2 linked regions of the Arabidopsis thaliana genome follow. The protein of the gene in region 2 interacts with the protein of the main gene of each other region in a pairwise test. Each region holds a gene or a part of one and is shown on either strand. Other genes may lie near its edges.

What was found.
Region 1: the proteins of RIP1 (region 2) and AT3G02330 interact in a two-hybrid assay, tested with the Arabidopsis thaliana proteins (one study listed by BioGRID).

What each region holds. Positions count from the first base shown.
Region 1 is NC_003074.8:473,247-478,639, reverse strand, and holds AT3G02330 (Pentatricopeptide repeat (PPR) superfamily protein), read left to right. Parts: upstream 1-1,977; 5' UTR 1,978-2,047; coding exon 2,048-4,759; 3' UTR 4,760-4,866; downstream 4,867-5,393. Other genes in the region: AT3G02340 (RING/U-box superfamily protein), read right to left, coding at 379-1,608; AT3G02320 (N2,N2-dimethylguanosine tRNA methyltransferase), read right to left, coding at 5,148-5,393. UniProt on the Arabidopsis thaliana protein: Involved in C-to-U editing of mitochondrial RNA. Required for RNA editing at 8 sites in 6 different mRNAs in mitochondria.
Region 2 is NC_003074.8:5,048,221-5,052,985, forward strand, and holds RIP1 (cobalt ion binding protein), read left to right. Parts: upstream 1-1,974; 5' UTR 1,975-2,100; coding exon 2,101-2,489; intron 2,490-2,660; coding exon 2,661-2,758; intron 2,759-2,842; coding exon 2,843-2,908; intron 2,909-3,266; coding exon 3,267-3,901; 3' UTR 3,902-4,235; downstream 4,236-4,765. Other genes in the region: DJ1A (Class I glutamine amidotransferase-like superfamily protein), read left to right, coding at 1-39, 134-319, 411-491, 658-858, 974-1,114, 1,204-1,401; AT3G15010 (RNA-binding (RRM/RBD/RNP motifs) family protein), read left to right, coding at 4,624-4,765. UniProt on the Arabidopsis thaliana protein: Involved in organellar RNA editing. Required for the processing of numerous RNA editing sites in mitochondria and plastids. Binds to the plastid RARE1 factor, a pentatricopeptide repeat-containing protein involved in RNA editing.

The sequences.
Region 1 (5,393 bases), 4.6 Mb from region 2:
AGTTTCACTGAGAGAACAAAGTAGCACCTCAGGGTCTGTAAAATAAAAGTCATTACAAAAAGGTTACCTTGAGAGATCTATCCAGATCATGCAAAACTAGCTTAAGAGTTGTCAATAACTAATGAAGTAAGAAGCTTAGTTATAAATCCATGATTGATCTTCAACGAGAACAACTATGAAAGATGGATTAACTTCACAAACACTTCAAGATAAGGGTTCAAAGTTTAACATGATTTATTTCACAAAACAAAAGGAATATATACAACTTAAACATTATCACATTCACGATAAGTGCTTACCATAAACAAAGTGGTTCAAGGATCTTGCCTCTGAAACCATGTCTATTAACTTGAAGAATAGATCACTTCAAATATTCAATTAACTATATCTACCCGGCAACACGTTCCTTGCCAAACCAGTATCGCCCCTTTCTGAGCTCTTATGTCTTTCATACTCAAGATCATCAGTAGGCAGCTCATACCGACAAACCGGGCAAGTATTCCTTATCCCCAACCAAGGTATGATACACTCTCCATGATAGAAATGACTACAAGGAAGCCTCCTTACTTTCTCCTCCACTAACATTTCATCTTTGCATACCGCACAAACATTGTTCCCTTTGTCTAACTCTTCCACAGCAAGCTCCACAACCGGAAGATCCTGAATTACACTTTTGGCTGCTGGAGGATTTCCCCTGATTCCAGTCTCGTCATCAAACATTTGCCCAAGAATAGCATCAGCATCATAATGTCCACTATGATTTTCATCAAATTCATCCAAACCAGATAGATACAGGTAATAATCCGGATCGATATCATCAGGGTTTAGCATGATTCCTTCAGCTTGTTCGATATAATTAACAACATTGTTAACAGTTAACAAAACCTGCCAGTCCAGTTCATGATCTTCTTCTTCATCATCCCTTGATAGTGAAGACAATTCATCTTCTTCGTCCTCATCTTCGGGTCCACTAAAAGCTGTCCAGTTAATCGCGTTCTGCACCTCCTCCCATTCTTCATCAGCCAACACGGTTCCCTCTCCGAAGAGATGATCCCACACAGGAGGAAGACCCGTACCAACCTCGACCCGACCCGAATCATTTCCCCTATTCCCGCTACTATCCTCAGAGATAAAATCAAACACGCCATCTTCACAATCGGAATCTGAATCGATACCGGTCACTCGAAGCCCTTGCTCCCCTGAATCACCCGGTTGCAGATCCGACCCGGAAGTCCCCAAAACTATCTCCTCCTCTTCCTCGTCTTCCTTGGGGTCATAAAAGCCCCAAATATTATAATCACCGGCGGTCAGCCCTCCTGATTCCAAGTACTCAGCCACGTCAACATCGGAAGAATCTCGATCGAAGAAATCGATGGGACAGCTGTTGGGATCGGGCTCAGAATCCGAGTAAGAACCTGATCCAGAATCTGAAATCGGGCCTGTGAAAGGGAAATAAGGATTGCAATCGATGTCCCTGTCGTCGAATGGCGAGTAACGGACGAGTAAGTTCGTGGTCTCCGGTATGAAAATCGGATCGTCTACGGCTACACCGTCGCCTTCAGCCTCTTCTTCAAGGTTGATTGCGGAATCGGGCTTCGTCGACGCCATTGCTGTGTCTCAGAGAAAAGTAATTAATTAAAAAAAAAAAAGACAAAAAAGGAAAAAGGAAATTTCAGAGGGAAAAATCGTATGATTTCGTCTACACAAAGGATATAATATGATGACGTGTATTTGCAGGTGGATTAAGACAAACGATGAAAAAATTACGCCGTTGCCGGGGATCGAACCCGGGTCACCCGCGTGACAGGCGGGAATACTTACCACTATACTACAACGACCTTGTTGATCTGGTAATGCTTTTTAATTATTTAATAGAATAGTAAAAGTCCAAACTGGATTCCCCGTGGCGTGTTAACCGCTTGATTAATATAGCTAGTGCCTAGTCAGTCGGTTTATATATTTTTCAAACCGAGTGAACCGAACCGAAGCAATTGTAATCGTTTCAATCCCGCCATAGATACCACTGAGTTTCAGTTCGTTATGACTCATGGCGGAGAGTCTCAGATTATTGCATATGACCAGATCAGTGGTTTCATTCAATCGTTGTCTAACAGAGAAAATTTCATACCGGAGAGTTCCAAGCTTTTCTTATTTCACTGATTTTCTGAATCAAGTGAACTCAGTTAGCACGACGAACTTTTCGTTTGTTTTCAAGGAATGTGCGAAGCAAGGAGCGTTAGAGCTAGGCAAGCAAGCTCATGCTCATATGATAATATCTGGGTTTCGTCCGACTACATTCGTACTGAACTGTTTGCTGCAGGTCTACACAAATTCAAGAGATTTCGTGTCTGCTTCTATGGTGTTCGACAAAATGCCGCTGAGAGATGTTGTTTCTTGGAACAAAATGATAAATGGTTACTCGAAGAGTAATGACATGTTTAAAGCGAATTCTTTCTTCAATATGATGCCTGTGAGAGATGTTGTGTCTTGGAACTCAATGCTTTCTGGGTATCTGCAAAACGGCGAGAGTTTGAAATCTATCGAGGTTTTCGTTGACATGGGGAGAGAAGGTATTGAGTTTGACGGTAGAACTTTTGCAATTATTCTTAAAGTTTGTTCCTTTTTAGAGGATACCAGTTTAGGAATGCAGATTCATGGGATTGTCGTTCGAGTGGGTTGTGATACTGATGTGGTTGCTGCGAGTGCGTTGTTGGATATGTATGCAAAAGGCAAGAGGTTTGTCGAGTCTCTTAGAGTGTTTCAAGGTATACCAGAGAAGAATTCTGTCTCGTGGAGTGCTATAATCGCAGGTTGTGTTCAGAATAACTTGTTGTCCCTTGCTTTGAAGTTTTTCAAGGAGATGCAAAAGGTAAATGCTGGAGTGAGCCAGTCAATTTACGCTAGCGTCTTGAGGTCATGTGCTGCGTTATCCGAATTGAGGTTAGGCGGTCAGTTACATGCTCATGCCTTGAAGTCAGATTTTGCAGCAGATGGTATAGTGAGGACGGCGACATTGGACATGTACGCAAAGTGTGATAATATGCAAGATGCTCAAATTTTGTTTGACAACTCAGAAAATCTTAATAGGCAATCTTATAACGCAATGATTACTGGTTATTCGCAAGAAGAACATGGTTTCAAAGCTCTACTGTTGTTTCACCGACTCATGTCATCGGGTCTTGGTTTCGACGAGATAAGTTTATCAGGAGTATTCAGGGCTTGTGCCTTGGTGAAAGGACTTTCAGAGGGGCTTCAGATTTACGGTTTGGCGATAAAAAGCAGCTTATCGCTAGATGTTTGCGTTGCAAATGCTGCTATCGACATGTATGGGAAATGTCAAGCTCTGGCTGAAGCCTTTCGTGTATTCGATGAGATGAGAAGACGAGACGCTGTGTCTTGGAATGCGATTATAGCTGCACATGAGCAGAACGGAAAAGGATATGAAACGCTTTTTCTTTTTGTCTCGATGCTCCGTTCTAGGATCGAACCTGATGAGTTTACCTTTGGAAGCATATTGAAAGCTTGCACTGGTGGTTCTTTAGGTTACGGTATGGAGATCCATTCCAGCATTGTCAAATCAGGAATGGCTTCAAACTCCTCTGTCGGATGCTCTCTGATCGATATGTATTCAAAGTGTGGAATGATAGAAGAGGCGGAGAAGATACATAGTCGATTCTTTCAACGAGCCAATGTCTCGGGAACAATGGAAGAGCTTGAAAAGATGCACAATAAGAGACTGCAGGAAATGTGTGTTTCATGGAATTCAATTATTTCCGGATATGTAATGAAGGAACAAAGCGAGGATGCTCAGATGCTTTTTACCCGGATGATGGAGATGGGTATAACTCCTGACAAATTTACTTATGCAACAGTTCTTGATACCTGTGCGAATCTTGCTTCCGCTGGATTAGGTAAACAGATTCATGCTCAGGTCATCAAGAAAGAATTGCAATCTGATGTGTATATCTGTAGCACCCTCGTTGACATGTACTCGAAATGTGGAGATCTCCATGATTCAAGATTGATGTTTGAGAAGTCGCTGAGAAGAGATTTCGTGACCTGGAACGCCATGATTTGCGGGTATGCACATCATGGGAAAGGAGAGGAAGCTATACAACTGTTTGAGAGAATGATACTCGAAAACATCAAACCAAATCACGTTACTTTCATATCGATACTCCGAGCTTGTGCTCACATGGGTCTGATCGACAAAGGGCTCGAGTACTTCTATATGATGAAGAGAGACTATGGCCTGGATCCTCAGCTACCGCATTACTCGAACATGGTAGATATATTAGGAAAATCCGGAAAAGTCAAGAGAGCATTAGAGCTTATTCGAGAGATGCCATTTGAAGCAGACGATGTCATATGGAGAACCCTGTTAGGAGTCTGCACGATACATAGAAACAATGTAGAGGTTGCAGAAGAAGCAACTGCTGCCCTGTTGAGATTGGATCCACAAGACTCTTCAGCTTATACACTTTTATCAAATGTATACGCAGATGCAGGAATGTGGGAAAAGGTTTCAGATTTGAGGAGAAATATGAGAGGCTTTAAGCTTAAGAAGGAGCCTGGTTGCAGTTGGGTTGAGCTAAAAGATGAGCTTCATGTGTTTCTCGTTGGAGATAAGGCTCATCCTAGATGGGAAGAGATTTACGAAGAGCTTGGTTTGATTTACAGTGAAATGAAACCTTTTGATGATTCTTCTTTCGTGCGTGGGGTTGAAGTAGAAGAAGAGGACCAATGGTGTTACTGCTAAACAATTTTGTATTAAAAGTAAATTTAACAAATAGATTGTTTACAGCGTTTGTATAGTTGTAGTTTTGTTTGTTCAAGTACTATGATATTGCTTCATTTAATGATGATCAGAAGTGGTTATCTACTTTCAATATCTTGTTATACATTGCTTCTTTTGCCTCTTTTAGTTCTTCATGGTACTAAATTACTGTTTGGTTCGGTTAAGCTATAGATGAGTAAACTAATAAGATCACAACAGAAGGAATCACAAAAATGGGTCATAAGTCTCAAGTATTACCAAAAATGATTATATAGGAAACAACAGACAAAACAGAGTTCTTCATCAGGAGGCAAATCTGACTGTAGACAAAATCTGATCTATTTTGTAAAACTTTTTGTGATTTGTCTTATTATGTTGAGGTAATATTATCTGTTGCTGTCTTCTGGCGTTTTGGATCAACCTTGTCTTGGACATTATCTTCTGGCTCTGCTTCTTCATCTTCTTCTTTAAGTTCTTCATGGTGTTGGCTAAGATGACCATTGACTGCTTCATGACCAATAAGAGATACATGTTTGCTCGTAATCTGGCGACCAGCCCTAAGCTTTGGACCCCAATGCTTCTCTGGATTTGGCAGAAAACGAGCTACTTTCTTTGC
Region 2 (4,765 bases):
TTGGCTCTTGGTACTTGGGGTCTACTAGAAGGCAAGAAAGTAAGTCAGAAGTGATCAGTATATTTCCAAGGGCGTTTATTTATCTTTTTTTCAGGCCTTGTAATGTCTTGTTATTACATGGGGTTTCTTGCAGGCAACGGGTTACCCTGTTTTTATGGAGAAACTTGCGGCTACTTGTGCAACTGCTGTTGAGTCAAGAGTGCAAATTGATGGAAGAATAGTGACCAGTCGTGGACCAGGAACCACCATTGAATTCTCCATCACGCTTATAGAGCAGTTGTTTGGGAAAGAAAAAGCTGATGAAGTCTCCAGTATCTTGGTATGTTTTGTCTCTGCCTCTTTTATCAACCGCTGTGGTACGTGTTCATGTCACCTCCTCGTAGACTTACTTGTTATCCTTTTGAAATCAGCTGCTTCGTCCTAACCCTGGTGAGGAGTTTACTTTTACTGAGCTTAACCAAACAAACTGGTCATTTGAAGATACACCACAGGTAAATGTTCAGTTGCCTCTCCACTTGGCCCTTTTAACATTTTTCCAAGACAGGCTTTGTTTGATCCGTTATACAGATTCCTAGGAACATGCTGTGTTGTAAAGCTTTTGTCTTTCTTGATCAATAGTCTTTTATGAGTCAGAGAGATAATGTTTTCCCTTTTCAGATTCTCGTACCCATTGCAGAGGAGTCAGAGGAAATTGAAGCTATAGCGCTTGTAGATATCCTGAGGCGGGCAAAAGCAAATGTAGTGATTGCTGCAGTTGGTAACAGTTTGGAAGTTGAAGGATCTCGCAAAGCTAAGCTAGTAGCAGAAGTTCTTCTTGATGAGGTTGCAGAGAAGTCGTTTGATCTGATTGTGTTACCTGTGAGTATTGCTAACTTCCAAAATGTGAATATACTATTTAGTCTTAAATTAAATTTTAATATTCTATGATGACAAATAACCAAAAACATAATCCAACTTCTTTGATGAACTACAGGGCGGTCTTAACGGTGCTCAAAGATTCGCAAGCTGCGAGAAGCTAGTTAATATGTTAAGGAAACAGGCAGAAGCAAACAAACCATATGGAGGAATCTGCGCATCGCCTGCTTACGTCTTCGAGCCTAATGGTTTACTCAAGGTGCATAAATCAAACAGTACTAGAATTGTAGTTTCTTGTTCTATCTTTTAAGTCATTAAACTGAGATATAAGAGACATGTTTTGTATAGGGTAAGAAGGCTACTACTCACCCAGTGGTGAGCGACAAACTTTCGGACAAGAGTCACATTGAGCACAGAGTCGTGGTAGATGGAAATGTCATAACAAGCAGAGCTCCAGGGACTGCAATGGAGTTTTCACTTGCCATTGTCGAAAAGTTTTACGGGCGAGAGAAAGCTCTTCAGCTCGGAAAGGCAACACTTGTGTGATTTCAAACAATGAAAGTATGAGAGTGGCTTGAATAAAAAGAAGGCTTTGCCTTTTAGTTATCTCTCTCCATTAGTAATTACTTACTTTATGATATATGACATATGAGCTTGGCTTAGTGATTGGTGTGTAACTTTATGCCTTTATAAATGAATAAACGAGATTTTTCTATGTATGTTGCCGATATTTTCTTTAAACCTCTGCAAGAGCTAGAGGGTGTGCTGGAGAAAAAAATTATTTTATGGAGAAAGATATTTTAGTCACACATTTTCACCAAATTGACCTTACAATAACTCTAAAATACGAATTTGCCCCTATGTTTAGCTTTGGAATATTTCATATTTGTAAACCATTTAATAATATGATTATTACCAATTTAGTGAAAATAAAATCTTCAGTCTTCTCTTCTTGTATAAAAATAGCTTTTTTATCATTTGAAAACAGAGTAATGTCACTAATTTCTTGGCGAAAATGTGTTTATTTGTAACTTAAGGTAAAATAGGGGCAATTTTGTTGAATCTGATAAGATCAGGGGGTAGTACCGTAGATTTCGCTGTCCAGTTCAGTTATGAAATACCTAAAATGCCCTCGACTCATAATCTACTATTAAACCCTCATAAAACCCTTGATTTCATTTCTAGCTCATCTGTTTTCACACTCTCTCCTAGGGTTTTATCTGCGAAGCCCAATCTAGAGCTTCCATGGCGACGCATACCATTTCTCGATCCATTCTTTGCCGACCGGCGAAATCTCTTTCGTTTCTGTTCACGCGATCCTTTGCTTCATCTGCTCCTCTCGCCAAATCTCCGGCGTCTTCTCTGCTCAGCCGGTCCCGTCCTCTGGTCGCCGCTTTTTCCTCCGTTTTCCGTGGCGGCCTTGTGTCTGTCAAAGGTCTCTCGACGCAGGCTACATCGTCTTCTCTGAACGACCCGAATCCCAACTGGTCGAACAGGCCACCTAAGGAGACGATCCTGCTCGATGGTTGCGATTTCGAGCACTGGCTTGTCGTCGTGGAGCCACCTCAGGGTGAGCCTACTAGAGATGAAATCATTGATAGCTACATCAAAACCCTAGCTCAGATTGTTGGCAGGTAAATCCCCAATTCAAAACTCTCTCTCTCTCTCTCTCTCTCTGTGTATGTTCTTCTAGGGATTTTAGGTTAAATAAGTGAGAAATCCACTACTGTGTATGACGGATCTGTGTGTTTACTTAGATCATTTTTGGAGCTGTAACATGATATATCTCGTTTTGGACATTTCAGTGAAGACGAAGCTAGGATGAAGATCTACTCGGTTTCAACTAGGTGCTACTATGCTTTTGGGGCACTTGTGTCAGAAGATCTTTCTCACAAGTTAAAAGGTTAACTCTTGCCTTTGTTGGGTTTTAGTTTTCCTCATTTCTGTGTTATAATCTGCCTTCTAACTTTCTTCTGTAACTCTCCAGAGTTGTCAAATGTGCGCTGGGTTCTTCCTGACTCTTACCTGGATGTGAGGAACAAAGACTATGGAGGTAGGCTTAAGTGTATTATCTGTATCATAACCTGGGTTTGAAATTGGGGTAGTTGCTTTGCTCGTCCATTATACTTTTGCTGGGTTTGAAATTTTCAAGGGAAACTACCTGTTGCTAGTCTTCGCTCTGTGGACTCGTTACTTGCTCCATGCTTTTGTGTTAGATTGACACATGGGGCGACTTCTATTTATAGTTAATTAACATTGTGGGTGCATCTGTTAGATTTGATTTAGTGATATCTATTGTGAGACTGGTGTTGTAGAAGTCGCAGTGATGTTGCTTTGGTGAGAGTTTAAATCTTTCTGGTGATCCTATTAGAGAGTTAGTTTGATGCGTTTTTGTATATATTGACTTTCAGGGGAACCTTTCATCGATGGGAAGGCTGTTCCTTATGATCCTAAGTACCACGAGGAGTGGATAAGGAACAATGCTAGAGCAAATGAAAGGAACAGACGCAATGACCGTCCTCGCAACAATGATAGAAGCAGAAACTTTGAGAGGAGAAGAGAGAACATGGCAGGAGGCCCTCCTCCTCAACGTCCTCCCATGGGAGGCCCTCCTCCTCCTCCGCACATCGGTGGCTCTGCACCTCCTCCGCCTCATATGGGTGGCTCTGCACCTCCTCCACCTCACATGGGGCAGAACTATGGACCACCACCACCAAACAACATGGGAGGACCAAGGCATCCACCACCTTATGGAGCACCACCGCAAAACAACATGGGAGGACCGAGGCCACCTCAGAACTATGGAGGAACACCACCTCCCAACTATGGAGGAGCACCACCAGCAAACAACATGGGAGGAGCACCACCACCAAACTATGGAGGAGGACCACCACCTCAATATGGAGCAGTACCACCACCTCAATACGGAGGAGCACCCCCACAGAACAACAACTACCAGCAGCAGGGTAGTGGAATGCAGCAGCCACAGTACCAGAACAACTACCCACCTAACCGGGATGGCAGTGGCAACCCCTACCAGGGTTAAAGCAGTTGAAGCAGTCGTGGGTTTCCTTTTTAATCATGCATTCTGGGCTGTGTATAGATAATTTGAGGAAGAGAGAGTGCAGTAGCAAGACTTTAAAACTCCTTTTATCTCGAGTGTTTATCAGTCTGGGATTATGTGAGAGAGAATAGCCTAAGTTACTGTGGCATGGTTAGAACTTTTCACTCTTGCGTTTCTTTTTAGTAGTTTATATCCTAAATCGATCTCAAGTTCTTCCTTGTGATGCTTGCTACTCTTATGTCCACTCCTGGTTCTGCATTAAACGGGATTTAGTAACATGTCTCCCACAGGCTATTGTTTTGTGTCTTTCTTTGGCTTCTTCCTAGTCTTAATTTCTAATTCCCCAATCATGTTTACATGGGAATGGGATACTCATATTATAACAGGAAGAATGACAAATGTCATCAATATCATATTTCTTTCGACAAACTTGACAGAACACACAATTTGATGATGAGAGAGAGAAGCGGGTGTGAAGTAACAAGATGGGCTTTGTGTTCTTTATCCCGGCCCATCATTCTAAATTTCAGCCCAAAATGGAAAATCTCGTAACCGTATAAAGCCCTCGCTTCCCTCATATGTTTTTCCGCCGTCACATATTTTCCCCTCTTTTTTTTCGTGTCAGATTCGCTTTCTCTACGGCTGGACTAGAAGGATTAGGGATTTACCGGTGAAAGAATAACTCCAGAGATAAATCTGTAACCATGGATATGATGAAGAAGCGTAAGCTCGATGAGAACGGTAACGGACTCAATACCAACGGTGGCGGAACCATTGGTCCAACTCGATTGTCGCCGCAAGACGCGAGGAAGATTATCGAGCGATTCACCACTGATCAGCTGCTCG